Linked DNA regions of Caenorhabditis elegans. The protein of the gene in region 2 interacts with the protein of the main gene of each other region in a pairwise test. Each region holds a gene or a part of one and is shown on either strand. Other genes may lie near its edges. The genes, in order: sma-2 and coa-4.

Region 1 (16,606 bases), on a different chromosome or scaffold from region 2:
AATGCCGATGAATCTTCTCAAAAAGCAATGGAAGATTTTTGGGAGATTGGAAAAACAATGAAAATGGGAAGCACTTCGTTGCCAGTCGGTGCCACCACGAAAAGTGAGAAATCTGAAAGGAATGTTGCAAAAGTAGTCGGAAAGTTTTCAGCAAATGTTGGTCGAAAAATCTTGGAAGGACTGAAAAAAGAGCAAAAGAAATTGACATGGAATCTTGGAATTCGTGCATGTCTTGATCCAGTTGAGACCATGAAACATGTTTTTTTGAGTTTAAAATCTGTTGATATGGAATGGAAAGTACTCAGTATGTATCATATTATTGTTCGTAGCAAACCGACTCCAATTAATCCGGATCCTGTGAAAGTATCTCTTCAATTATTTGCTCTCGATAAAAAAGAGAATAACAAAGGATATTTACTCGATTTCAAAGGACTCACTGAAGACGAAGAAGGTTTGTATTTATTACATAAACACGAAAGTTCACGATTTTTGGGCTAAAAATACGGTGCCTGGTCTCACCACGACAATTTTTCGTAAATTACGAAAAGTGCGCCTTTGAAGAGTACTGTAATTTCAAACTCGTTACTGCAAATTTTTCATCAATTTCTCATAGATTTTCTATGAACAAAAGATTTCTTTATCAAAATACTAAAGTAAAACAATTAAAACACAATTAATGAATTATAGTACTCTTTACGCCTTTTCGCACTTGACATAAATTTGTCGTGTCGTGACCTGGTACCGTATTCTTCGAGTGAAAATAGCTATTAATATTTTGTTTTAAAAAAAAACTTTCAGCTGTTCCACCGAGTCGTTGTCGTTCCCGTGCTGCGTCCGTATCAGTAACTCTCGCCAAATCGAAAAGTGATTTAAATGGAAATAGCTCGAAAGTTCCAATGTCTCCACTATCTCCAATGTCTCCAATTTCTCCGTGTAAGTTTAATTTTGATGAAAGAAAATTATTTTAAAATGAATTTTCAAAAAAAAAAATTTGTTTTTTCAAAGAAGGAGTAGCAAATTTTTCACAAAAACCCCCAAAGAGTAAAAAAAAAACGAATTTTCAAAAAAAAAATCGAAAACACGAAACCATTGATTTGTAGTTGGAGAAAGATATTTTCGAATTTTTTAAATTAAAAAAAAATAGAAAAATTAAGAAATGATTTAAAAATTATTTAAAATTCGAATTTTTTTTTCTGCAGGACCAGGAAAATTTTAGTTTAGAGTGTTTTATCTAGATATTTTCTCAGTTTCGATCAGTAAAAAATTTGAAAAAAAAACAGTTCGTTCAAAAAATTAAAAATTTTGACATCACTGACGCTACCTTCAAGCTCATTTCATTAAAACGAAACAATTTCAATCATTTTTTTAAGTGGTTCATTTTCATTACTCAATTTTAATATTAATTCAGCTGTCAACATTCCAAAAGTTCGCGTTGATGACGCGGACGCCTCGCTGAAATCATCGTTGAACAGCAGTATCTACATGGCTGATATTGAGGTTTGTTATAGAAAAATATTCGTTCTTGGTTCTTTTTTATAAGCATTAAAATTTCAGAACTCAATGGAAAGTCTTGATGAAGTTTCAACTCAATCTTCGGAACCCGAAGCTCCAATTCGTTCTCAGACGATGGAATTCTTTGCAACTTGCCACATCATCATGCAGGCTTTGTTAGCTGAATAAGAACATAATTTTATGTTTCTATCTGTATAATGATATGTATTTTTCGTTTCTTTTTCAAAATTCATCTTCTCCCGGTTTCACTTTTGCCCCCCTTCATTCCCCTCAGATGCCTTTTTTCTCTTCAAAGCATGTACTTAAATTGGACGTCTTTGTTTGTTTTTTTTTTGTTTTATTATTCTATTTCTGATTCCAATTCAACAAGGTAGTGTTATTTGAAAAATAATAAAAATGATTCAAGAAATTGAAGAAATTGGCCGTGGAGTTGGACCCATTGTAGACAAAACTCGGTCGAGCCACTGAAAATTGTATTATTTCTAAAGAAAACAAGAATTTCAGAACTTACAGCCAATGGAGCATGAAGATGAATTTCAATCCAACAAGGTGTTGAAGTGACATCTTGTCGTTGATATTCAGCTCCCCAACCTTTGACAAATGACATACGAATAAATGTCATTTTTTGTAGATCAAATGAGGCGTCGAATCCACGGCGACTGCAGTCCTCGAGAAGCTGAAAAATTTAGTTTTTCTTATTAGGTCTCCAAATAAGTTCCGGGTCAAAAATCATAACTTTGTTCACTGCGTATCGATTTTTATGAAACTGTGGGAATTTATGTTATCAACCATGATCTTTCATTTGACAATAGTCACAAAATTTTTTGGCCGTCCGAAGTGCCCTAACTCGGAGCCAATGTTTTCAGGCATTTTTCAGATCTCGCTTCTTTTACGCTTTGATTTGAGGTTTGTGTGCGGATTTAGCTTTGTTTAGTACACAATGTAAGAAAACAAGAAAAGTTTAGAAAAAAATCCGTCCAAAAAAAAATTTTTTTGTCGGTCGTCAAAAAATGCTCAAAAAAGTTTTTGTCGAAAATTCTTGATTTTTTATACAAATATGATGTAACCATGTGCAAACTATTTATTTTGCACATGGTTACATCATTTTTGTATGAAAAATCAAGAATTTTGGACAAAAATTTTTTTGAACATTTTTTGACGACCGACAAAAAAAATTTTTTTTTTAACGGATTTTTTCCAAACTTTTCTTGTTTTCTTACATTGTGTACTAAACAAAGCTAAATCCGCACACGAACCTCAAATCAAAACGTAAAAGAAGCGAGATCTGAAAAATGCCTGAAAAATTTGGCTCCGAGTTAGGGCACTTCGGACGGCAAAAAAATTTTGTGACTATTGTCAAATGAAAGATCATGGTTGATAACATAAATTCCCACAGTTTCATAAAAATCGATACGCAGTGAACAAAGTTATGATTTTTGACCCGGAACTTATTTGGAGACCTAATAGTTTCAGTTACTATTTTTTGCCCAAGAACATGGCTTCGCCAGTTTTAATGTGTGTACCTTTAAAAAGTACAGTAACCCAGTTTTTTTCAAAAAGTATAAGAATAGGCTACCGTACTGCTTAAAGGTACACATATTGCTGTGAGACTGCAATTTTAAGTTATTTTGTGCGTGACGAGACCTTTTCTTGACTCAAACATTGCAATTACGTGAATTAGCTTACCTGTCTAAAAATCTCCATATCGAAAATCTTCAGTGAACACTTATTTGCAATTTTAACAACAGTTGTTGAGTGAAATCCATTGATATAATTACAATTACTAGATTGTACGAATATAGCTGAATCACTTTCACATTGAGCAAAGAGTGAGCCATTGCTACGTACGTAGGTTAGCTTGACACCTGGAATTACAAAAAGTTTGAAAATTTTCAATTTTTTAGTCATAGTCTTGCAAAAATTATGCGCCGAAGTACGGTACCCAATCTCCCGAAAATCAGGTTACTGTACTTCTTGAAGGCGCACGCGTGTTTTGCTCGGCCTTGATTTGAAAGTAATTCGTTCGTGGCGAGGCCGTGGGTGCTCTTACCGTTTCCAATATGTCTTCTTGTATTTTCAATAGTTGCATTTCGATTTACATTCGAAAACAGTCCCAGGCTAATTTTGCTTCCATTGATGCATGGATCAGTGAATCCATCGATAGTTATAGTTGTTGAAGACACTTTAACCTGTTCTCCGACTCTTGTATTCAATTCATAATAGCTAACAGTTGCCCAGAATTGTTCTTCCCAAACTTTATCGAATGGCACGAGACATGTTGGAACTCCTGGTGGAATGTCGAATTTCTGAGAAGTATCCATTTCCTCAATTCCATTTGGATTGTATTGATGAAATTGGTTGGCTCTAGAAAATTATTTATTAAATCCCTAATTAGAAAATATATTGATAATATTTCAACCTTTTTTTCTTTTCGTAACCTTTTCCCTCTCAAAGTTATTTTGGATCCAATTTTATTTACAACTTGCGACGATACTCCGGAATTCCACCGCATGCTGTTTATCGTAAATATTGCCTACTTTTCTTATCACTGAAATTTTACATCATTTTACCAATTTTTCTTCATTCTCTTTGAATTCTCAATTTTTCTAACTTAATCTTAACTTATATCATTTATCTATTTATTATTTTGTAGATATAATGGTCGAAACGACTGGAATCAGCGACCAAACGAAAAAAGTGCTGATCGGTGTGGCAGCTGCAGCGACAGTTGCAGGTGTAGGATACTTGGTATATAAGAGTTTTGGAGGTTCAGACGTGAGTTTCTAGTGTACAATGATATCAATTTCAAAACTAATTTCAGCTGGAAAGGGACTTGGAGGAAATAAAAGCATTGGGAAATTTGAAGTTTAAAGAGAAACAATACGATTCCGCACTAGAAGCATTCACAAAAGGAGTCGAAAAGGCCGGACCAAACTCTTCTGATCAAATTGTCGCAATGCTCTACCAAAATCGTGCAGCCTGTCGTGAAAAGGTTGGACACAGCCCTTTTGATATCCTCAACGACTGTATGGCTGCATTGAAAGTAGACAAAAAATACACCAAAGCATACTTGAGAGCAGCAAAAGCACTTAATGACGTCGGAAAGAAACAGGATGCTCTGGCGTGTGAGTTTCTGAAGATGTTACGAGAAAAGTATCAATTCCTGTTTTTAGATCTTCTTGCCGCGTTCACTTTGGATTCTAGCCTGAATAAGACGAATTTCGAATTCTTTGGAAAGCTTCTTGCTATAGAACCCGTAAGAGCCTAACAATTTCTTAAAGAAACTCAACTTTTTATTCTAGATGTCCGACTGTCACATTGGAAAACCACTCAAAATCGAAGATGTTAAGCCACAGCCAGTAGCTTTGTTCAGAATTCAGCAGTGGTGTGATACTTGGGATATTCTTGATCTTTTCAAAACAGATCTCACCAGATTCGAACCAGAAGTGCTCAGTGAAGACCAGAAGTAAGCTCTAATTCTAGATATACAGTAAAAATAATTATAAATTTCAGACAATACCAACTTGCACTGGAAAAGTTCAAAAAAGGAAAATACGAAGAACTGATTGATCTGCTTACTGAGGAAAACAGCTATCCTCCGGCAATGATCTTGCGTGGAAAAATGCTAAGCTACAGTACTGATCCTAACGAGGCAACGAGATATATCGATAAAGTTGGAGCAAAAATTAACGAACTGATTGGATCAGAAGAGGATGAGGAACGCAAAAAACTAATGAGAGATGCTTTCGATATTCTCAAGATTGAGCTAATGTATACTATGGCAGATTTGGATAAGTTAGTTTTTTTTCTTGATTTTCCAAAATATTTCCAGGTCTTGTCTAATTTTTTCTAATTTTCAGATTCCTGGAATCAGTTCCAAAAGACGATAAGGAAAGACTTTTCAAACTTTATTCGTTTGCATCTATTTTTGTGGTAATTCGATTAAATCATTTTTATTCTCTAAAAATATGGTTTCAGTATAATGGATGTGTTCTCGATACAGCAGTGACGAATCATGAGCAACAAATGATGGCGGATACAGTAAATTTAAATTCATAATTTTCTTATTTATAATTATTTAATTTTCCAGAACAATGCCAATAGACTTCTCACAGAAGCTGAAAAGAACGGAACTCTCACTCCACATCTTTCCATGATTGTTACATTCCTGAAGTTGTGTACCAGCGAAGACTACGCTGATGTTCATCGACGAATCCGAGAAATGGAAGAACTCGCAGAGAGTAGATCTACTCATTTCAATCTGGTTCTTATGTCCAAAGTATATATGATGACTAATAATGAGGAGAGCTCGAAGAAGTTGCTCGAAGAGGCTGCAAGGATTACTACGAGATATTTGGTGCCAAGTAGGCATTTGCAGACTGCGTAAGTTTAGATTTTAATTTTCTGAAATTCGCCGACTGGTACCAGTTGCCGAGATTTTATGAAAAAAAAAATAAAACAAAAAATCGAAAATTAAAAATTTTTTTTGACTTTTCGATTTTTTTCAAAAAAAAAAAAAAAAGAATCGAAGAATATACTCATAAAATTCGATTTTTGAAATAAATTTTGTTTCTGTTGTTGAAAAAAGAAGAAGTATAATTTTCTTTTAAAAGGAAGGAAAATGGCAAAAATTTAAGCTATCGGAAAGTTGAAAAATCAAAAAGTGCGAATTTTTTGTTCAATCACGTCATTAGGGACCAGCCTGCGAATTTTAAATTGAAATTCCCATCGGCTTCTAAGTTCTACGTTAAATACAATTAATTTTCCAGTGATCTCCACGTGCACAAACCAGAAGCTGAACGACTCAGATTGACAACTGAAAGTGCCAACGCAGCAATTGCAGTTGATCCATTCAATTTCTCGGCTCACGTTCTTCATCTTTTGGGAACTAACGGGCCAGAGCCGATGATCAAGAAGTAAGTAAAAAAGTTTCAGAGTTCCACTAAAAAATCCAAGTCCTTTCAGAGAAAATTACGAGCGAGCAATGGAATCAATTCGAAATGCAGCTCTATTTGCCCCACCACGAGAACTTCTCATGTTGAAGAGAATGATTCCATTGATGAATGCTAAGAAACGTGCAGCTGAAATGCTCGATATGTATTAATTTAAAGAATTTTTGAATAGTTGATAGGCTGCTTTGTTACCTGTTTTTCCCCTCATTTCCCCGTTTTTTTTTTAAGTTTTCGGGTTTCTCAAAATCAACCCATCCGTTTTCCAGTTCCGTTCCTTACCTACTGTGTTCGTTTTCTTATTTTATTCTTCGCTTTTTTGTTTTTTTGTTCCCGATAATCTCATAAATACCAGATATTTCAATTTTTCTTCAATCAGTAATACCATATATTTTTTAAACACTTACGTAAAATTAACGTTTGCCATATTGACATTCTGCGGCATTCTTGATCCGCTCATCTCCATCAACTGAAATTTCGCCAGAGTTGGGGGCACTTCTTGTGGTGGTTTCTCGGAATAACGAGGTACAAGAACTGGTGGAAGTACTCCAGTTGCATGAACTCTTTTGTAATGATATGGATTAATGCAAATATCCTTTTGCCCTGATTCGTAGCAGAATCGGCAATCTTCAATTGCTTTCAATTCATGATGTGATTGAAGATCTGGCCAACGATAGACACGGCAATATATCACATGAGGAAGTGCCTGAATTTTTAGTACATAGGATTTGGAATTGTTCCTAACATTTTTTCTCAGAGTGGATTATTTGAATTTTCTGTGAAAAATGATAATCTCCAGCTGTTCAAACAAGCATTTCACGAAGAAGCTTCATTTCAAAAAAAATTGAAAATCGAACAAAAGATCAGCTAACGTTTATAAATTTTTTAAACTTTTAAATTTCATAAATTTAATATGATTTTTCATAATCTAGGTTAAGTTTTGGCTGGTGTAATTTTTGTGAAAATATCAAAAAATTAGCAGAAAAATCTATGTTTTTTCTAATATCGTTAGGATGTACTGTAGAAATTATGCAAATTTATAAATTAAAAATGCAAATGGGACTGACACGTGGACTTTTGCCCATAAAATCAAAAAAGATCAAATCAATTTTTGAAATTGTTCAAACGACTAGTTGACACAATTTTACAATTTAAAAATTTAATATCATTTTTCAAAATCTAGTCGGTCGATTAATCGAATAAGTAAGTCTGTCTCTGTTTCTAGTTGATGTTCATAAACAAATAGGGCACCCCTTCATTTTGAATTTGTTTACTTCTTCTCCCCATTATTCTCTTATTCTATACTAAAATCACCTTTCGATGCGAAATTTGAAGTCGTCCATCTAGTGACCGCGGAATTGTCACGCATTCGGTTTTTTGTTGTCCTTGGCACTGAAATGATATAGTTATTGATTTGAGGTTATTCTACGATTGAAATATCGGATATATGTAGTTTTTATTGATTTTTAACGAGTTTAAAGTATGTGTAGTCTATTGCTAGATTATTTCATTTCTATTCATAAAAAAGAAATCTTAAGATCAAATTGAAAGATTCAAAAGACACAAAACACATGAACCCTCAACGCGAATTCCAAATTTTCCAACGCCTGCTTGTTATGCTTTATCAGCTTCTTCATCAAGTTGTCGATCGCCTTTTTTGCCCAATTCTCATCCTCGTCTCCTGTAAAATACTTATTTCCGTCAGAAATCCGATTTCAGTTTCGATTCTAGATTTCCGCCGTTGATTGTAATATTTCCCCACCCTATTGGTCTTTTGGACAAAAATGAGACTTACCTTGTTTCCATTTCAGTCTCTCCGTGATCTTTTTTATTCCGTCGAAGTTTATCTGAAAGGTTCGTGGTTTTTTGTTGTGAAATAAAAAATGGTTATACAATTTTATCTATTTTCGAAAAATAAGAATTCTTGGGAATTGGGTTCTGATACGAATGAAATTTTTCAGCTACCGTACTCTCTATTACTATTTGTCTCTCTTGTCTCGATTTTTTCAAGAATTTTATTGTAGAAATCACATATTTTGGAAAAATGTTTAAACTACGTCAAATATTAAAATATGTAAAACGGAAGGTTCAAACTTTGAAAGCTGAGAATTTCAAAGTCTATGGTGTTCACGGGGTACTGTAGCTGAAAAATTACACACGTTCCAGGACTCAAGGCCCTGGTTTTGAGGAAGTAATAATAATTTTTACAAACTGGTAGTGGTTAGACAATATCGAGAAGATATTTCAGTTTCTTATTTCACAACAATATTTTGGGAAATTTTTAAACAAATTCTTTATAGGAAAACATAAAAAATGTAGCTACATTTTTTGAAATTTTTAAAAATGATTTTCGTATTTTTTTCAAAATTTTAAAGACTCATTGAGTTCAACAATTTGAATTCTATTTTTTTTTTTCTTTAAAAAATTTGAATTACAAAATTTCGAATTTTTTTTGAATGTTTATTCTTAAATACAAATAAAAACTTACCATGATTCTAATCTTCTTGAAATATTGTAAAAACTAATAGATCACAAGAAGATTCTATAAATAAGAAACATTGAAAATAGCCTGTAAATGCGCACTCCTTTACCTTTTTTTCTTTCTACCTCTGTAGCCTCTCTAAAGTGCCTGGTATCTCATAAATTGTTCTCAGCTTCACCAGCCCATCATCAACCGTCTAACTGTCTACTCATTGTTTTCAACTCTCCGTCTCTCCAAATTGTGCAATCATCTTCACAGATGTGTTTCCACCCGGCGACAGTCAACTTGTGTCCCTGCGCCCCCGTTATCGTCATTAGTAGCCAACTAGACATCATAGTATAGTAGAGAGACTCAGAATATATAAAATGAGACAGTGTTTGAAATAGGAAGACTTAGAGACGCAGAAGGGCGACAGTCTGGAGCCAAGCAGGGAATTAATGGAATTCATTTATTCATGTTTGAAAGGAAAACGGTATTGGGGAATATTCATCACTTTTGTTTGAGAAGGGACCAGGTGTCATCGGATAAAATAGTCTATGGTTGTTGTGAAGGTAGGCTTTGCAAAAACCGGTCTCACTAGATCAAGGAACACCAGAAAACACACTTTTTTGAAATTGTGTTGCTTTTGTGCTTAAATTAAGAGAAAAATTCTTGCAGCAGAAAATATTTCACGCCCTAAAATTTTGATTTTCATGGTTTACAAATTACCGAATTTTATCAGAAAGCATAATTTTCTGAAAAGAAAAGATTCCGAGAATCTCAAAAGATATAGAAATTTCTAGTCTGCTCTATGCACTCATTCAATATTTACATTTTCTATATAATTTCAATTTTAACGAATTTTCATAAGTAGATTCTTTGACAGAAGGTCAAGTAGTGTCTTGTCCTTGAAATTTCCTTCTTTGTTAATTCATGTTGCTAAGGAACATAAGCGTTGCTTGGAAGCATCGGAAAATGTTATATTTTTTTGTTCTCAATGCATTTTCAAATATTTCATTTCTAGAGAATATCTATCTATTTTTCAGTCTTTTAAAAAGTATCAAAAAATGATTTCATGGGTTTTATCATCGCGTTTGTGAATAATGATACTTCCTCTCAATTTTATGCATGAACGTGGCGTTTTTACAATAAAAAAGAGAAGAATGATCTAGACAAACATACACCCTTTTTATCAGACATCATACCCCAATAGCACATTTTCTTATCTTTTTTTTTCTGAAAGCATTTTTCAATATTTACTGATTATTTTTTATGAAATATACAACTTTCAGGAATGAAATTCCAAAATGTACATATATCACATCAAGATGAGGACAAGGAGAAGCTACTGCCAAACGATAAGGATGTGGAGAAAGCGGATGGTAGGAAGTTTCTAATATTATACAGTTTTCAAAAAGTTTTGGTATTTCTTCAAAAAAAAAACTTTCCGTAAAAATTGAAAAAAAAAATCGAAAAACAAATTATCGGAAAATTTACTCTCGACATTTTTTAAGTTTTCGTATGTTATTTTAAAAATTTATATAATTCCTTCTCAAAACTCTGTATCAAAATGCCAAGTATTTCAGAATCCCCGTCATCATCTCGTCCAAGTTTTGTCTTCAAATGCTATGTTATTGCCAGTATGACATTCATTTGGACAGCTTACACATTAACAATCAAATACACAAGGAGTACTGTAAATCCAGATATGGTAATATATTTTGAAATATAGTTTTGGAAGACTTTGATTATTGAATTTTCAGAAATTTTTTTTTTTCAAAATTCAAAATTCAAAAAGTTTGACAATAAAATACAATTGATAATTCATAGCGAAATATAAAAAATCATGTTTAACTTTTCTGAAAAAAATCCAAAGTGTGAAAACGGTTTTAAGAAAAATTTTTTTTTTTTTGATCCCAAAGCACCAAAAAAACACACAGAATTGATACAAATATTTCAATTTTTCGAAAGTATGCATTTTTATTTCAGATGTATTCTTCAACATCAGTAGTCTTATGTGCCGAAATTTTGAAATTAGTGATCACATTTGCAATGTTCTACAAAGAATGTAACTTTGATAGCAGACAATTTTCCGAGGTAGATCTACCGTATTCTTTGAAATCTTAAAATTATAATTTACAGCAAGTCAGTAAATATTACATAAATGCTCCACGAGAACTTGCCAAAATGAGTGTCCCATCGTTTGCGTATGCTCTTCAGAATAATTTGGATTTTGTGGGATTGTCGAATTTGGATGCGGGACTTTATCAGGTAAATTGTCATAGAAATATTAAAAAATATATAATCAAAAAACCTTTTTTCCTATGAAAATAACAAAAAGAATCAATTTTTCATTAAAACCAAACAAAAAAAATTTTCAAAAAATAACCAAAAAATTAAAAGTTTTTCCAGGAAAAAAATCGAGTTTTTCAAAATAATATGTTTTTTCTTTTTCAAAAAAATCCATTAAAAACCATTAAAAAATCAATTTTTCCCAAAAAAAAAACCCAACTCTTTTTTTCAGAAAAAAACGATGCAGAAATGTTTTGTTTTAATTTTTCACAAAAAACCCTTTAAAAGCCAAAAAAAAAATTCTTTTTTTTTTCTCCAAAACAAAACAAAAATTATTATTTTCAAAAATCCAAAAAAACCCTACTTTTTCAAGAAAAAAATTGCAGGTCACAACTCAATTGAAAGTCGTCTCTACAGCTTTTTTCATGATGCTCTTTCTCGGTCGAAAGTTCTCAACTCGTCGATGGATGGCAATTACACTTCTAATGTTTGGAGTAGCATTTGTTCAAATGAACAATGTTTCTGCATCAGAAGCCAATACAAAACGAGAAACTGCTGAAAATTATATTGTCGGATTATCAGCTGTACTGGCAACGTGTGTAACTGCTGGATTTGCTGGAGTCTATTTTGAGAAGATGTTGAAAGATGGTGGAAGTACACCATTTTGGATTCGTAATATGCAAATGTACAGTTGTGGAGTGGTAAGTTACTGAAATTTCAAAATTTCCTAGTTTATTTACTTACCATCCAATTGAATAAATCAAACTTCTGAAAGTTAAAAAAAAATCAGAAACTATTTAGGGTTTTTTTTTCAAATCGTTTGAAAAATAGAGATTCGAAATAATTGAATATTACTAAAAACCAATTTAGACTTATTAATAAAATCTAAGCTCAATTAATCTCAGAAAGTCGAATTTCGAAAATTTCCAATTTTTTCCAGATCAGTGCTTCAATCGCTTGTCTCACGGATTTTTCGCGGATCTCCGATAAGGGATTTTTCTTCGGTTACACGGACAAAGTATGGGCAGTTGTGATTCTTCTTGGCGTTGGAGGCCTCTACATTTCTCTTGTGATGCGATATCTTGATAATCTGTACAAATCAATGGCTTCAGCAGTCTCTATCATTCTAGTTGTTGTTCTTTCGATGCTCATATTTCCAGATATTTTCATTGGAATGTATTTTGTACTTGGAACCATTTGTGTTGTTCTTGCTGTTCTTTTGTATAACTCTGTTAACGAGTAGGATTCACAATTTGCTTCTTTTTTTCAGTTTTAGAAAAACCATCATTTTTTGATTACACATTCTTCCGGGTTACTTGATTTTTCTGTGTATTAGCCAAAAGCTTTAATTGTATAAACTTAATGCTTGGATTTCTTTGTATTTTTGGGGTTTTATTCTATTGCATTTTTTGTGTTTTTTTGGATCGTGGTTTTATGTTATAAACTTCCTCGATTCTCGATGGCAAATAAAAAGCATTCATATTTTTTCCTAATTTGTTCCAATCCACAGAATTCCTGACCAATTGTGCGAACGCTCTGGAGCAGAAGCAAGGGCTCCTCCTCTTTCCTTCTTCCTGCTCTAAAACTATAAGCCATTAGTGCTCAGGTGGCTCATAAATTCTCGCCAAATAACAGAATTCCAATGGCTCCCTGGAGATATCTCGCAATTTGCTCAGTCAGTAGTTTGGCAAGTGTGTGTTTGACAGGAAGGATGCATGTGGTCGATGTTTAATTAGATGGGAATTCAGAAAAAGAGACGACAGAAACGGATTGGCGGCGAATGGAACTGAAAAGATAGAAAGATGAACGAAACTTTCTCTTTTCTTTTTCAAGCCATCCCAATGTCCGAGCATTTTTTTATATATTTTATGATCAATTTCGACCATCCATTGATTATCCGAATTTTCTAAAACTCTTTCTTGAGTGTGCACGGATTTATATGAATGGGTCTCACCGCGAGTTTATGGTAGCGTTTTTTTCTCTTAAATAACATATCAAGTTCTGAAAAACAGAGACTTCGAATTACAGCCAATTGCAATTTTTATGGTACATGTCTTTTGGAGAAATTGTCTGAAGTACCTACCTTTCTAAAAATTATTATTCTTTTCTCAGAAATGATGCCCGGATTCTTTTAGTTAACTGTATTTCAATCGTTTTTTTATTGAGAGTTGGAAATTTTTCGAGAATATTTATTTGGTCTTTAGGTTTTTTTAAATACTATTTTCGAATGTTCAAACCTTTCTGCCAAGCTGGATTATTTTAAATAAATTTCTCAAACACTCAAGCCCTTCACAACTTAATTTTATAGATTTTCCCAGAAGACACAAAATTTTACAAAACTTTCCCATCATTTCAAAAAACTCAAAAAACACTAGAAACCCATTGTCAATAGTTATACACCCTCATAATGTGTTCGTTTTTTTTTTCTTTGAGAATCCTTCTTCTCATCTATCTTCGTTACCTAATCCCACTGAAGGTTCCCATTTGTTTTGGACCTTTTGTGTAGGATTCATTTTAACATCTGAAATTCAGTTTTCGTATAGATATTGAATATCACAAAGCTTCTGAAATTTTAAATATTCAACAGCAAACCGACTTTTGTACAAAAAAATTGCTGTCCCTCAAATATCTCAAAACATTTTTCCATTCAAGTAGTTTATCAGATTCCGTTCTTTTTCCATCTTTTCTTTTTCTTTTTCCAAATCCAATTTACATTTCCTTCGTCGTTTTGTCATCTGAACATTTTTGATGCAAAAAAAACTCCTAACAATTTTTCAAAAAATATTCCTAACATTAGGGAAAACGAGGTAGAGAAGAGATGAATGAAAAATGAAAACGACGGGGAGCTGAAGAAGCAGAAGTATAGAAAGAGAAGAGCCTTTTGAAATGGAATGATGTAGAGAAAGGACATTCATAGAACAAATTCACTTTTTGGTTATTTGGAGAATAAAGAATCAAGAATTTTGAATCAATTCTCGACTCACTAAAGTTGACTTCCAATTTGTACTTTTAAGCGACTTTTTGTTTTATAACTACTTTCGTTTCTCTGCAAAAGTTTTCGGATAATTTTTTTTTGAAAAAAAAATAAGCATGAAGACGGATCCCCTTTGTCTCTCACGATTTTCAGACCAGACCGCGGTCTCTGAATTGTGAAATGGATACAATAGAAAAACTTCAAAAATCAGCATTTTTGGCAACTCAGAAACTCAAAAACATGGTGCATTCAAAAACTATCGCATACAGTCCAATCTTATCTGTTCAACTGTTTTTGAAATTGAGAGTATTTCTTCTTATTTTTACCTTACCATAATTCCTGAGAAAGAACTCTCGTTATGTTTATCTTCAACACCGTATGTCTGTAACTTCTCATTTCTCTGAAAAACCAAGAATGCGTGAGTATGTATTGTGGGTACTGGATAATAAGAAAAAAAGAAGAAACCCGATGGAAAAGAAGACGAAGAAGTCTCGGCGTGAAAATAAGATAAGAGGACTCGACTCGATTGAATTACGGGGAGAAGAAGCAGAAGAAGAAGGCTTGACGACTATTCCCTTCTCTCAACATCACAATTTTCATACTTCACTGGATATAACAGTTACTTTTCGGTTTTTCTATACTGGTTAGATATGTGAAGCCTTGTATTTAAAAAAAAATCTGAACGGTATTCTATTGATTAAAGTCCTGTATGTAGATATGGGATTTTTTTGGAATTTTCGAACTAAGAAAAATGTTAAAACTTATCATTTTCATACTCTTGTTGTAATACATTTATGGAAAATTATAGTTTATGCTATACCAAGATCCGCTCTTCTCTGGTTCTTCCAAAAATCTAAAATGCCCTATAAACTATAAATACATTTCAGAATGATTCTACTTGCTTTTCTAATGTTCATACCTGGTGTGGAGACAAAAGAAAGTCCAGTGAAATGTGAATATTCTGATGAGAAGAAAGTTAGCGAGTGTCTACAGGTATTCTTATATTTCAAGACGGTTTGAAAACATTTTATAATGAAAAACTGGTTACATCATTGAAAATAATTTGTTCAACATATTTTAAGAAACAAGTTTCAGTTTTTAAGATTTAAATTTAGAAAACATAACTTAAATTAACTACCATTAAAGTTATGATTCTTTCAAAAAATAAATGCATTGAAACAAAAGCTAGGTTTTTGAGCGCCAATGTCTTACAATGAAAAAATTACAGCCAATGCTTGACTACGCTACAAAACTTCAAGCGGAGACCGGAGCTATGCAGTTTCCACTTCAAGGTGGCCAAGTTTTCAACCAACTTTGCTCTATCTACACCGATTTCAAGGTGAGGTTGATCTCATTGCTTTGAATATCAAAAATATGAACTCAGAAAATTGGTAAATTTTTTCATAAATTTTTCTTTTTCATAAATTTGGCTGAAAATCCCGAAAATCTTTGAATGTTTTTAGGATTGTGTGTCACCAGTGAAATGTGATTCCTTGTCAATTGATGCTGTTCATGCTTCATACAGTTACATGTGTGGTTCTGGTCAACCATTATTTCAGAAACATGCCGGATGTTTTGCAGAGGTACTGCCACAGTTTCACTTGTTATTCTGAAGATAGACACACTTTAGACACAACACTTTTAATCGTATATTATAAAAAATCACAAACTGGTTTAAAAAAAGTTGGTATAAACTAAGTACAGTATTCGGCAAAAGAAACTTTAGAATATTTCTAATTTGGAAAGAGTCTGGACAACTGTTTTAAAAAAATAACTGTCATAACTTGATCAATTGATTGGTTAAAAGAGTATCAGAAAGACAGTTGTCTAGAATTTTTCTACAATTTAAGTTTCTACTCTTTTGTGATTGACAACATTTTTGCATCTACAAATAATGTTGTGACACTCTTCGTCTTCTTCAACAAAGTTACAGTAATCAAATTTAAGGTCGAAGCCCAAAAAGAGTATATCAGCTGTAAGATAGCAGCCACTCAAGCAATTTCTGAAGCACAAGGAGCAAAAGTGAGTTCATTTTGTTTCATGTTTTGAGTAGATCAAGTATGAGATTCAGGGATCATCAACAGAAGCGTATTTGACTGAAATGTGTCGAGCGATGGATGGATATTTGAGATGTTCTCATCCAATTATTTTGGCAAAGTGTGGTTCCGATGCATGGACATTAGTTTCTACTGTATGTTTATCAAGGGCAAAATTGTTTTTTTAATTCTCAAAATTTGGCATTTCAAGATGTTTTTCTTTTTCTTAAAAAATTCTGATCTTTTTCGATCTAGTTAAGAAGAGTAATTTTTTCGAAAAACCAAGAAATTCCAAAAAGCGTTCCTACAACCATCATTAGTTTAAAAAAAAACATATTTTTGATCAGTTTGGCAGATTTCAAGTAATGATAAATGCACTGAA
Region 2 (13,440 bases):
AAACTGTTCGTGAAATCCTTTTAAAAACTAACTTTTACAATTAGAGTAATTTTCCAGAAAAGCACTGAAGTTGATTCGATGAGCGACAAAGAAAGTCTTTATGTCTCTGCAAGTGATCAGCCACCAGCAGAGATTACAATCAAACTTGAGAAGGATACAAAAAGAAAGATCACAATTATCAGTGAAGTTGAGAACCCAAAACGTGCTCGACGTGGATCAGCTGATCTTCGACGTCAGGCTATTGTGAATAGTGCTATCCGAAGTGCTCAGTCTACTGCATCTTCTCGTTCCAGAAGTAGAAGCCGAAGCAGAAGCCGATCGACAATGAACCAACAAATCCGCCTTGCTCGTACTAGATCTGCAAGTGGTGGCAAGCTGAGAAGATCTAGAAGTGCTCGTCGTCGGTCTCCATCATCGTCAGCATCTCGTTCTCGATCTAGATCAACTTCACGTACTCGTGCTCAATCAATTCCAATTCGCTACAGAGATCGTCCAGAAAAGGTAACAAATTATGTATTCCTACATCCATCTAAATATTCTATTTCAGATTGAGAAACCTATTCAACCTCTTCCTCCCCTTCGCCTCCCAACACATTTGACCAAAAAAAGTTCAGTTGGATCAAAAAAACTGCCACCACCGGATTGCATTAATCTTCCATCTCCTCTTTTTATTCTCACCGAGCAACAAGTCATTGGTGCAAGTGAAAAGAAGACTGTTCAGTTTGTGACCAAAGTTCTTTTGACTTCCAAGAAGCTCTCCCTTGATGACCGTAAGCTGTTGTTTGCTGAAATGGTTGAAGCTGAGTATGTTGGAACTTCTCGTTCGTCAACAGATTTGAACAAGTCATCAGACGATGAACCAGAAGAAGAGTTTGCTACGAAGATTCACTATTCCTCCAAAGGAATTTATATTCATACAGTGCAGAATGTGAGAAAGATTCGTTCGGGTAAAACTTCGTCCATCACAGAAGAGAAGAGCTATGCAAACATTTGCAAGACGAAAATCTCGGGAGATCATGGAAAATCAACGGAAGGATTTCTGAATGTTCAATGTTCGGAAACTATTTCTGTTGTTGATCAGAAGTACATCAGATCTGAGGAATTTAAGATTGGTCTTACTGGGGTTAATGTCTCTGGGTGAGCGATTTGTCAATGGTAAACTTTATCTCATTTAAATTTTACAGAAATGTTTCGATTAACTCTTCCAAGACCACATTTGATCCAACCAAGACTATCACTTTCAGTGAGGATCTCATGTTTGACAGCAAAAACATTGGGTAAGTGACTGTTACTTTTTAATAAAAGCGTAGGAGTCTGATTAATTTATAAATGTAGTTTGAAATCAAAAACTTTCAGAATCACAATTCGTCACAGTTCTGTCGCTGAAATGAAGGAAATGTGGCATCACGAAATGGGATCATTTGGAGAAGAAACGTCAGAATACAGAGAACTCAAGTTCTTCTTCGATGAGAAAAAGAAGGATGATAACAAAACTGTTGGAAAATCAGTGGTATCTATTCTCCAAGGAACGAAACCTTCTGCACCTCCAGCATCAACCAGTTCATCTTCCAAAAATTCTTCTTCCATCAATTCTCCAAAGACTCCGAATATTTCTGGTTCTTCGCGTAGATCTCGTTCTCGTGCCAAGAGACATAAGGCTCTCCAAAAGAGGGATAGTAAAACTAACAGAACTCCAAGTCCTGATAGACAGTCATGCAAGAAGGATGCTCGTCCAGATCAGGATCCAATCAAGTTGAGTGAGATTAAGGTTTCAGAGCATGTCGACTCAACGGGGAATGAGACTTTTTATCAATCTTTCCCGAAAGCCACGTCCACTCCGAAAAGTCCAGCTTCTTCTCTCAACTCTTCAGTTCTTGAATCCAAAGTGAAGAATTCCATGCAGAAAACTCCCGACGAGGGTCCGTCTCGGCGTGGTGCAATGAGCATTAGAGAGCGATCAGTTTCAAGAAACGGTGACAATGAAATTGATTTGGATAAAAGTTTGAGCTTGAAGAAACCATCTGCATCGAAGAATTTGGCCAGTTTGTTGGAAAAGAAGGAAGAGGCAAGAAAAACTGATGTAACATCTTCCATGATCAGTTCAAAACCTCCAACTTCTCCTGGCACCTCCGTCTACATGTACAACACTGGATCAGCCAATTCGACTTTTATGTCTGCTAAAGATTTGCATAAAGAACGTGTTGCAGCTTCTACTGGTCCCAGATCTGCTTCAAAATCTCCAAAAGGAACACTTCGCGTGAAGGAAACTAAAGTCATTCGTGAAGTTCGCCAAGAAGATGGAAAGCCACCTGAGATTAGTGAGAAGAAAGAAGAAACTGTGAAAGAGGAAAAAGTGAATCTGAGTGAGAGATTGAGAGCCAGATCGAGAGCTTCATCTCCTGCAACTCCAACTTTGAAGAGAACATTCAATCAGACGGATGAGTCGAATATTGTGACTTTGAGTGCAGGTTAGTTTAATTCTTAATTTTTATATATTCAGTCAAAAATATTATAATTTTAAGTCAAAGAAACCCATCAAACTTTGGAAATGACACCAATCAAAGTGAATTCTGAAACAGTTCCTTCAACTTCTTATGGACAACGTGCTTTCCCTGAGAGTGTTCAATTGGATATGCTCATTGACAAGAAACGACTTGTGCTTAATGTTAATTTCATGCTTCTTGCTGAAAAACATCCAGAAGTTGAAATTCTTGGTTTCACATTCAAAGGACAAAAGTTGTGGGAAAAGAGCTCAGAATGGAATCTCACAAGTGCAAATACTACTAGTCATGTCAGTTTTCTGTATGTATTTTCATTTTCTGAATGTTTTGATTTTCAGACTAAAACAATTGCTCGTCAAGCCAGTAACATTTTGGGAGATGAAGAGAAAAAAGACGAGGAGCAAAAATAACTGGACTACTACTAGATACTTGAACTGAACTGATGTATTGAGCCATGAAAAAATGAATTTTTATTGAAATTGTCCATTCTGTTAGTCGAGAAATGTTTTTATAGAAAGAGCTTTCCGAATGCCTAAAATTTACAACTGTTCACTTTGCCAGGTCTGTGTCTTGAAATGGTATCCGCATTAGGCCGCAAAGGGCCCATTTTTACGCTTCACGAAAACGACCATATTCGCACGTTGTTTGTGAGCCACCCGAGTGAGATGGTGATCTAGGCACCATCAGTTCATTAAGCCATTTTCATCTAACAGTGCAGGAAGAAAGACAATTACATTTTCTCGAATTCGTTTCTCTATCTTCAAAATTTGAAAGATAAAAAAGGTAAAATTTTCAAATATAAAACTTTCGAAAAATTCATAAAGGTATCAAACATCAATAATTTCTGATTTTCAATTTGCAAATTATTTCCTCTAATTTCCATTTCATCATGCAAATTCATTCATTATAATTTCAAAAAGTGTTCCATATAAGCCGGCTGGGAATTGTCTAAACAGACTGGTTCAAAAAATGCGTCTACTTCCAGTAACTCTTCTCTTAGGAGCTGTCATCTTTGTTTCCACCAAAAGTACCTGCCGGACAAGAACTAAACCTCCAAGTACTGTACCTATGAATGAAGTAACTGAAGCTGTAACAACCAAGAAAGCAAGCAATGTTACCGTTAAACCTACAACATGTGAGGCAAGTTGGACTCGAGTGGAAAGATCAATTGGTGGATGGTGTCTGAAGGTTTACAATGGATTTGTTCATCAAGATCAGGCTTCTCAGGCTTGTATTAGAATCGGAGCTGAACTATCTGGAAGTGAAAGTTCTGCTGAAAGAGCTGTTATTGCAAGACTTGGAAAAGAAAGAATGCTCGCTGCTTCTGACTATAAATTTGGAACTATTCGAGTTGGAATTGCAAGACCTACTACAACTAGAGTGAGTTTTTCAAGAAAAAATATGAAAATAAACTTGAAACTTTCTTTTGACCGAGTTGTGTTAAAATGAAGTCTTAAATATTTAGGCTTGGGCACTCACCGATGGAAATAATGATGGAGGTCAGCAAGGTATTCAATGGAGTAAGGGAGAACCACAACTGGGTCCAACCAGCGGATATTCCCATAATTGTGCTCTTATGTGGATTTGGGCTTCAACTGGAACCAGCCCTTATGAACATGGAAAATACTTTCACAAGTTTGTCCACTTACTTGGAAGGACATGTACAGAGGATTTGTTTGTGGAAAGCGTGCTACTTGATTTTTAATGTTCTAAATTAATTGATTATTCGAATAAAATCTTATTTTTCTTTTTTTGCATTTGTTTTCTTTCGATTTAAATATACTTCTTCAGGTCATAAATTCTAAGGTCGATGTGGCAGCAAATAGTATAGAAAAGAACAGATATGACGCAAATAGGAAAGAGGCGAGACGCTTTTGTGACGCCTCGGACAGATTTATATAATTACAGTTGTTTTTGTTTCAGTCTTTTTAGTAAGATGTTTCATTATAGTTGCGAAAACTCCAGACCAGTATTACCCACAACTTCAAATTTTAACATTTTTAACGAACAAATCCAATTTATCATATTAAACTTTAAAAAGATATTAAATGTTCTTGATAGAAAAGTAAGAATTAGTTGGTTGAATCAACCATGCATCTGAGTCCCCAGCAAGAGTTGTCGAAAGTGATACGGAAGTTCTCACATCCAAAGTATCCAGCCTGCAATTATTTAAACTTTTTTTCAGAAAAGTTTCAACTTTGAATTCTAAATTTTGTTATTTTGCCTTTCTGTGTATCAGAAGATTTTTAAAACTCACTCCTCCGACTCCACAGGCGGCATTGTAGGCGTCATTCAAACAGCTTCCAGTTTGTTGAACTGCTCTGAATATGAACAATTGAATTGAATAAAGTAGATAGTATTTTTCCAAACATAGTTCAAATGGTGGAGTACGAGTAAAATTGCGAATTTGCTTTGGAGATAATTCAAACAGGGAGATTTGTAAAAAATTGGGAAATCGCGAATTTTTAAATTGAAATTTTCAGTCCTTCGCAAATTGTTCTTCATTTTAAGTATTTTAAAACAAAATGCATTAACCATATTCCACTTTTGATGTATTCTTACTATTCATAACTCACGGGCAGAAGTTTCCAGCAGACACTGTTTGATTGAAGTTTTGAATGCAAGAGTTATACGCATTTGTAGTTGGGAAAGTACCGAGACAGTCCCATTGGCTTACTACTTCTGGAAATAGTAAAATAGTGGTAAAGAAGTCTTTGGTGAATCTTACCAGAGAATCCTCCGACGCACATCCACTCGAGTCCACGGAATGTTCTAACATAATCGAATGCTGAAATATAATCATTAAAAAATAAATTTCAATTATAATATGAAAAAAATGTTGTACGTTCGAATTGCCATTCACGACAGGTCGAAAATCTCGATATCTATGAATTTACTCACTGTTCGAGAAATCAGGTTGTGGCTTGTTGAGAAGAGTATAGAGATTCATACAGGTATAATAAGAAGATCCGAGGCATTGGTAGAATTGAGTACGGGTGCTGAAAGTGTCATTGGATTTGAATGTTTGAATTTATTGAATTTATTAGCATGCAATACTTATGAGTTCACTAAATATTTAAAATTTAAACAGTAGTAAGCAGTAATAAACAATGAAGCCTAGAAATGAGTCTATGATTAATTTGTCTTATGCCCGGTCAATTTGACAATGAAACTTTCAACTGTTATAGTGGAACATGTTAAGTGTGAAAAACGACGAGGAAATTGAAATTTAACAAATTGAACATAATTATCATGGCTAACATAGACACATATAAAACCAAATGGCGAAAGTTTCAGAAGTGATATAACATTTTTTAAAGTAAGATCGTTCACAAATAAATTTTTCCTAACAGATCACCACAATACCACAATATTCAATGTTTCAACTCACTTGCAAACCTTGATAAGTTCTGTAACATTCATTTCCAAATATTTCTGAACTGTATTGAAAATGTAAGATCCATTGCGCCAAGAAATAGAATCATCCATTCCAAAGAACTGATTGAACGTTGTCTAGAAAATTTTCATTGAAACTATAATTTTATTTTTGATGATCAGTTTTCATTACATACAAATACTTATTTTTCTACAAACCGCTATCGAATTTGCACCCGTAAAAGGTGTATTGGATATATTAAATGTACCTGACAATAATTGAATTGAATATCCTGACAAGCAGAAATGGCAGCATTTTGAGGAGTCTCACGGAAAGCCATTAATTGAATAAGATCATTTGGAAGAGAATATGGTAGAAGGAATGCTGCTTGGGAAACTCCCACAAGTACAAGAAGAGCCAATGCTATTGTACGCATTTTCTAAATAATTTATAATATCGTTCAGGTTCAGGGAGGAAATTGACGGTAAGTGCAGAATTTTGAAGGGGATTGGTGATGTCATCTTAATTTTTTTTTTCTTAAGCTTTATTGGATATAAATATAGAACTTTGAATAATGCGACAGCTTGAAGTTAGATTTCAAAAATAATAACCGGTTCTTCTTTACTTAGTCTCAGTTGTATGTGACACTAATGTTTTTTTGGAGATTTGAATGACTAAGGGAGGAAACACGATAATATAATATAATATTGTTTATTTGTCACAAGAAAGAGCTACACCGGAAGATTAAAAAATAAATAAAATGATGTGTGAACAAATAAGTAAAATGACCAGTATAAATTGCAAAATATAGTGTCCAGAAATTGCAAATTCGAGCGTCATTTTTCTTATAATGTTTGACGTATTTTTGATAATTTCCATGAAGTTAAAAAGTTTTCCAGAAAAATAACAACCAAAAAAACATTAAAGAACATTGAGAAATTTTGGGTACTGTAGCGGGAAATTTTCAATCGTGCCAGGACCATTGACAGTAAGTCCGTAATTCATGGAGATGTAATAATAATAATGAAGTGGATTTTAATTCATTATTGGGAATTTCAGAAATTCTATTAGGTTGGTCCGGAAGTCTTTATAACTGGGTTTGCTTTTCCACCGCTCGCCACAGTTGCACTTTGGTATTCCCTCGTTGCTAGTGAATAACAACAAGAGTAGGAACTTCATTGTAAGCAACACCTCATTCCCTTTCCTCTGGCCTGAAGTTAGTCAACCAACGATGTATGTCCCTAGTGCGATCCACATCCGATATGGTTTGATGTACCTCTTCCTCTCTCATACCACGATGAAGGATTCGGAAAGTCTCCTCAAGAATGTTTATGATTCACATGTTCCCTACTATAATATCATACGCAATTGGTTCCAAAGCTTCGAGAAGGACGACTTTTCTCTCGAAGACTCTGAGACCCCATAAATTGGATTTGGACACGTTGCAGAAAGCCATGGCAACGGATCCTTTCCAAATCACCCGTGAGCTGTCAACCACACTTGGGTCCCGTCAAACCAACATTGTACGAGGCTGGGAACCTCTTGGAATAAAGAAACTTATGGGTCAATTCATACCTCACACCTTGACACAGGCGAATCTTGATTTTTTAGTGGGTGATTCCTTTTCCCTCCTCATTTTCCACGGGGCCGATCGATGGTTGGGCCGACTCATTACTGGTAACGAGAAGTGGGTCCTCTACGATAACAACCACAAGCGTGCTCAGTGGATTGGAGAATGAGAGACACCACAGGATGCCGCCAAACCCGACCTTCACCCCAAAAAAGGCATGCTCTCAGTGTGGAGGGGAGTGTAGGGCCCTTTCTACTGGGAACTGCTGCCTGAGGGCAAAATGATTAGTGGGGACATCTACGTTATCTAACCATGGAACATGAAGGAAGTCATCGATGGTTCACCCCTGATGGACAAGCAATTCTGTTTTCAGCAAAACAACGCTAGTTCCCACCTCTCGAAACAGGAAAAGTAGGAACATACCAGCCATGGATGGATGGTTCTCCTTCACGCACCGTATTCTCCAGACCTCACTCCATCTGAATACTAGTCGTTTTCAAATATGACCCGTGTCCACGAGCGGAGAATCTTCAATACCCAAAAAAGTGCCAATGTAGCACTCAAGCATTATTTCGACTCGCGCCCGGAAGGGTACTGTTAGCAGGGCATTAATAAGTTGCCCACACGTAGACAGTATATTGTTGATAATGATAGCGAATAAAATGTATCCTATCGTTTCTCTTGCTTCGAGAAATAAACGATTGAAAAAGTTATAAAGACTTCCGGACCAACCTAATACTTCACCGTTTAAAAAACTTGGAAAATGTGAAACATAAATTTTTTTGACATATCTGGTGAAACAACTATATTCAAGAGAACAGGAAAAATTAGCAGAACAGCAAAGCTGAAGGATGGAGCTGTACTGAGTCGTTTTACGGGGGCTCGAATCTTCGCCTCTCGCGCGGAAAGTTGAATGCAAAGAAGGCAGAAGATAAAGCGGTTCTATCACGACCGTATGGAATATCTAGTTTATTTTAATCAAATAAACTACTGAAAATTTTCTCCCAACAGTACAAAAACCTTAGATTTTCAGTATAAGAAGTTTTTTGAAAATAAATTTAACTTTTACATCTTGTTTTTTTTCAAAAAAATATTAAAAAAAGAACGGTAAAATTTGAAAAAGTGACGTTTAAAGAAAAAGTGAGAAGCTGACTCAAAAAAAGGGCAGGGCGTCGTCAAGATTCTCGACCGTGTGCATACACACCGAATCGTGGCAAAAATTATATGATCGTGTCGTCGCAGCACATTTGATATCACCTTGGCATATCAGTATAGGTTATCAAATCGAATTACGTGGACATTGAATGCTTTTTAACTGGATGATTATTGAGGAGACACACCTCGTAAAAAGGAAAACTGTTAAAATGGTTTGGGGAGAGTGTATGTCACTCCCAATTCTTGTTATGCAAGTTTGCAGTAATGAACTTTTTGAAAATTGCAAATTTTCAGATACGGAAGCCAACAAAATACAAGTAACAATTAAACGATAAGAGAAAAAATGAAACAATGAACAACCTAACAAAATAGCCTAGAAAATTAAAATGACAAAAATGGAAAACGATGAAAGAAGTCTTCAATTGTGGCTGGTTGATCTGAAACTGGAATTAATTTGTTTTTGGAGCGACTTTCATGAGCACGAAATTCTGAATTTGGAGTGGATTCGACTGTTGTGGTGTCTTTGTGAGAGTTGATAGAAGAGTGAATTGATTCGATCTGAAATTGAAGATAACGAAATTATTCATAATTTGGGAACTATGGCAATGCATTTCTATCTAAATATAATTTCTAGGTTTTTTTAAAATAAAATCAACTCTATATTTAGAGAAGTCATACTAACATACTTTAAATATAGAAAAATGTATTCACAAAAGTTCAGAATTGATTGCTAATGAATGTCTAGATCACTTTGAGGTTTTGGGAATAATATTCACTATTTTATATGGTACAATTTATAAAATGTTTTTAAATTACATTTGATAACTCACAATATTACTTTCCAATTCTCCTTCCAACTCATTTAATTCTTTTGTTATTTTCTCCAATCTCTTCTTCAATTTCTCCTGAATAAATCCTTTGGAATGATCGATTTCATACTTCAAAACTTTCTTCATTTTCAATTTCAGCCCAAACATTTCCAACTTCGTGAAATATTTTGAGCCGATTTCAAAAAGCTGCCAATTTTCGAATGATCCACACAATTGACAAAGAAGTGCCATCTAGAAAACTCGGAGTTGTATTATGTTTGCATTCGATAAAATACCGTGTTTTTGAATTCTTTCTGATAGTTTGATGTGAAAGGTAACTTTGAGAGAAGAAAAGCTTTTGTTCGTAGAAACTGAATTTGATCACCAAAATCGACCAAAATGGATTCGTAGTAGGAAAGAAATTGTAGAGAAATTGAAGTTTCAGGTGAAGACAGCTGAAAAAAAATCATATAAAATTTATAGTTTCATATACTAAAAATAAAATTACCTCCGATGTTTTTTTGATGGAACATTGGAGAAGAGAATCGATTAGCATTATTTCATGTGTACGATTGTTTTTCGTGCTTTCACGGAGCCCGGTGAGAATCTAAAATTGAAACTTTTGAAGTTAGAATATGATTTACAAGTAAAAAGACAAAACACCAATAAAACGTCACAAAAAATTTGGAACGCTTCACGAATTTGCGTGTCATCCGTGCGCAGGGGCCATGCTAATCTTCTCTGTATTGTTCCAATTCTAGAACATATACTAAAATTGGAACAATACAGAGAAGATTAGCATGGCCCCTGCGCACGGATGACACGCAAATTCGTGAAGCGTTCCAAATTTTTAGATCTTTTCAGTGGCGTTTTGTGTTTTGTACTTTTAAATTTAAAAAGAATTTCAGGTTGTTCTATGTTTATTTTTGTAACAAACAATTTCGTAATTTTTTACTTCTGAAAAGTTAACTCACCACGACAAATTTTTGTTAAATCCGAAAAGGCGTGCGCTTTTGAATAGTACTGTAATTTCAAGCTTTTGTTTGGAGAAATTTTTATAGATTTTTCGTAGTTTTTTGATGAAAAATATAGTTTTCTTATTGAAGTTGAAATATATAACAATAAAAACCTTGAATTTAAAATCTAGAGAGAAACAATGAAAAATCGATGAAAATTCCGCAGCAGCGAAATTCTGAAATTAAAGTACTTTAAATGCGTACGCATTTAACAAAAAATTGTCGTGTCAACACCGGGCTCATAACTTCCAGCCAAATTTCGGATTAAAACCAAAAATTTAAAAATGAATGATTCTTACATTTTCAGCGCATTCGAAATCCCCATTATGATAACAATCAGCCACTCGGAACAAGTCAATTTCACTGAAATTACGAGTTTTATGTGAATAAAAATTAATCCAACTTACGTTATTGCAGTCGCTGTTTGATTTTCTTTTAAAGCATTACGATACCAATATTTTTCATGGAAATTCGGTTTGAAAGGTAGATAAGTTGGTTTTTCTTGATGTTTACAATTATTTTCGTCATCGGAAGGGTCAAAATCATTGAGAAAATCCATTATTCTTTGTTTCTGATTCTTCTTTTGGTGGCTCACCGACTTGAACGCTTTGAACACAGGTTCTGAATTCTTTTACCTAAAGTATATTTTTTTTAATAATAAAAAGAAAAAAGAAGAAAACAAACCACGTCTTGACACTTTCTCCAATCTCTATGTTCTCCCATACAATCCGAGACTTTTAGATGAAGATCCCAGCACCCAGACTTCCTGAAAATAATATTTTTGTTTTAAATTTCAAAAAAATTGCATCATATTTCATACTTTATGAGTGACTCGACACGGTCTTCCTGATCGGCGTTTCCAGTCCAAATATGAGGAGATTTTGGTGCTTCCTTAGTAGCAGTTGGAGCAGCAGTTGACATTACCCTGTGACAATTTTCTGTTCTTTGGTATTTTATTGAAAAATAAAAAGAAGCAACGTTTTCGAGAAAAGACAGACAAAGCGTAGGATGAGAGATTTGGAGTTTAGAAAGAGACGCAGGCATTGAGAGAACCCTGCAGTGTACATCGCTCGGGGTGCCGATTTTCCGAGTGAAGTACACAAGAGTAGTTAAAATTGAAACAACTCGGTTTTTTTTTCAATTTTCAATTTTGATTATACTTCGGCGTTATCTCTTTTTCTTTCTCTTTTCGATAATCGGTGAAATTTTCGCACGCAACCTTGGCTGCGACGGTGAAAAATTGCCGCAGAACTATTCCGCTAGTTAGGAACATTTTTTGATAATCTTAACAAGCGACTTTGCTGTCCACCACGTGTTTTACACGTTATTTTATTTTTGAACTTGTAAAAAGCTTTTTTAATATAGTTTTAATATGAAAACTAGCAAATCGGAGAGCCGCGCCAGCCCTTCGGTAATGGGGATGCCCGAAAAGGTAGCTTGCGCAGGTTCTCGGCTTTGCCTCAAACCTGAGATGGGGATATTCGAGATTTCCTTGAAATTTGGGATCGATTGATTAAAGAACGAAGCTTCTGCGATGGTTTTGAGCTGAGATATGAGCGATTTAAGTTTGAGGAAATCTGGTTAGTTGGCTTGAGCGAATAACAATCTGCTTGGAATAGGATTACAAGAGGAAAAAAGGCTGAAAATAAGAAAGACAAACGAAATTTCGAAAGAAAAACATGAAACCTCTTCTCTGAAAAACGAAACAGAACAATCGAAAAAAATTTTGTACAATCTTGTTGTCCGAGAGGAGTTCGTGTAGAAGAATATCGGCCACGGCCACCGTCGAAAAATTTGGATATTTAATTTATTTCTAGCCCGAATTAAAGCTTATTCTAAACTTTTGGAGCTGTTTTTTGATGTATTTAAAGAACAAAATGTGTATTTTATTGAAAACTGATCTGTATATAGGTTTAATTTGATGAAACTTGTCTTTTCTGCCCGCGAAATGGTGTGGCCTAGAAAATTCTAAAGAATATTTTCTTAATTTTATCTTTTGTCAACAAGAAGCTTGTCTCATGCTCAAAAAATCGTTCTTTTTCGAACTTTGACTGGTTATTAAAAATTAAACTTTTTCAGGTAATAAAAGCTCGAATTCCGCGCAAAAATCACGCTGGAGAGCAGTCGGAAGTCGGCGGACCCGGCGACCACTGTCGCTCATCGAAACCATTTGGATTTCTTGGCGGGATGGGGAGCCGGATGCATCGAAACATGCATTTTGTATCCATCAAATAAAATCATCTTTCGACAGCAACTTCATGGATTCCACGTGAAAGATGCAATTCAACAAATCAAATTGGAAGGCGTTGGAAAGTTGTACAGAGGACTATTACCTCCTCTAATAATGCGAACGACGAGTAGAGCATTAATGTACGGATTATATGATGAATTTCAGGTAATTTTACATGAAATATTTATATTAACAAGGATAAATAATTTAGATCTCCTTAAAATGTCCACGTTCACCTCCGAACTCTTCGTTTTCAATTTGTCACGCTCAAGCTGCATTTCTGTGTAAGTGATCAGTTAACCATTAATTTCTTTAAAATTAATATTTTTCAGCAGGAGTATGCGAAGCAATGCTCTGCCCGCTGGAACGGGTTCAAGTACTTCTTCAAACAACAATATTTCATGACAAATTTAAGAACACATTACACACTTTCAATCGTCTCCGCGACTATGGTTATCGGGAATATTATCGAGGATTTTCTGTTATTCTCATCCGAAATAGTCTTTCAAATACAATTTTCTTCACTCTTCGAGATCCGTTGAAACAAAAAGTGAGCTTATTTTCTAGGGATATTATAATTTACGATTTGCTTGTAGCATTTTAAAAAATACTTTCCTATAATATCTGTGTTTCAGATAGTCGGAATCCCACAAGCTGGACGTCTTCCTGAATCACTTCAGCAACTAATTGGTGATTTCGTAGCTGGATCTCTATTGGGAGCAACCATTTCTACAGCATTTTTCCCATTAGGTGTTATCAAGAATCATATGCAAGCGAAGGTAA

What was found.
Region 1: the proteins of coa-4 (region 2) and sma-2 interact in a two-hybrid assay, tested with the Caenorhabditis elegans proteins (one large-scale study listed by BioGRID).

What each region holds. Positions count from the first base shown.
Region 1 is NC_003281.10:8,742,310-8,758,915, reverse strand, and holds sma-2 (Dwarfin sma-2), read right to left. Parts: upstream 9,237-16,606; 5' UTR 9,053-9,236; intron 9,004-9,052; 5' UTR 8,953-9,003; coding exon 8,950-8,952; intron 8,309-8,949; coding exon 8,257-8,308; intron 8,143-8,256; coding exon 8,039-8,142; intron 7,854-8,038; coding exon 7,776-7,853; intron 7,168-7,775; coding exon 6,869-7,167; intron 6,822-6,868; exon of another isoform or gene 6,617-6,821; coding exon of another isoform or gene 6,478-6,616; intron 6,429-6,477; coding exon of another isoform or gene 6,282-6,428; intron 5,896-6,281; coding exon of another isoform or gene 5,603-5,895; intron 5,554-5,602; coding exon of another isoform or gene 5,491-5,553; intron 5,446-5,490; coding exon of another isoform or gene 5,373-5,445; intron 5,308-5,372; coding exon of another isoform or gene 5,026-5,307; intron 4,979-5,025; coding exon of another isoform or gene 4,815-4,978; intron 4,769-4,814; coding exon of another isoform or gene 4,686-4,768; intron 4,638-4,685; coding exon of another isoform or gene 4,334-4,637; intron 4,288-4,333; coding exon of another isoform or gene 4,171-4,287; exon of another isoform or gene 4,166-4,170; intron 4,025-4,165; coding exon of another isoform or gene 3,951-4,024; intron 3,877-3,950; coding exon 3,563-3,876; intron 3,513-3,562; and 9 more. Other genes in the region: aak-1 (5'-AMP-activated protein kinase catalytic subunit alpha-1), read left to right, coding at 1-103, 152-451, 799-933, 1,409-1,497, 1,555-1,680; Mitochondrial import receptor subunit tomm-70, read left to right, coding at 4,171-4,287, 4,334-4,637, 4,686-4,768, 4,815-4,978, 5,026-5,307, 5,373-5,445, 5,491-5,553, 5,603-5,895 and 2 more; ugtp-1 (UDP-galactose translocator 1), read left to right, coding at 10,217-10,304, 10,509-10,633, 10,912-11,019, 11,065-11,193, 11,601-11,915, 12,155-12,457; nssp-33 (DUF19 domain-containing protein), read left to right, coding at 15,077-15,181, 15,417-15,527, 15,652-15,771, 16,136-16,210, 16,260-16,379. UniProt on the Caenorhabditis elegans protein: Involved in TGF-beta pathway. Plays a role in male tail tip morphogenesis.
Region 2 is NC_003282.8:9,324,540-9,337,979, forward strand, and holds coa-4 (Cytochrome Oxidase Assembly subunits), read right to left. Parts: upstream 11,064-13,440; 5' UTR 11,063-11,063; coding exon of another isoform or gene 10,987-11,062; coding exon 10,835-10,986; intron 10,791-10,834; coding exon 10,727-10,790; intron 10,264-10,726; exon of another isoform or gene 10,090-10,263; intron 10,019-10,089; coding exon 9,920-10,018; intron 9,867-9,919; coding exon 9,708-9,866; intron 9,664-9,707; coding exon 9,433-9,663; intron 9,161-9,432; coding exon 8,984-9,160; 3' UTR 8,758-8,983; downstream 1-8,757. Other genes in the region: F49C12.15 (Serine/arginine repetitive matrix protein 2-like), read left to right, coding at 58-501, 548-1,137, 1,185-1,277, 1,357-2,468, 2,523-2,791, 2,840-2,911; clec-183 (C-type lectin domain-containing protein), read left to right, coding at 3,471-3,881, 3,967-4,206; nspg-7.1 (DUF19 domain-containing protein), read right to left, coding at 4,574-4,660, 4,759-4,822, 5,078-5,183, 5,230-5,289, 5,403-5,500, 5,893-6,014, 6,146-6,313; T20D3.14 (CHCH domain-containing protein), read right to left, coding at 10,970-11,062, 11,112-11,193, 11,248-11,348; slc-25A51 (Solute carrier family 25 member 51), read left to right, coding at 12,772-12,822, 12,869-12,941, 12,990-13,207, 13,293-13,436.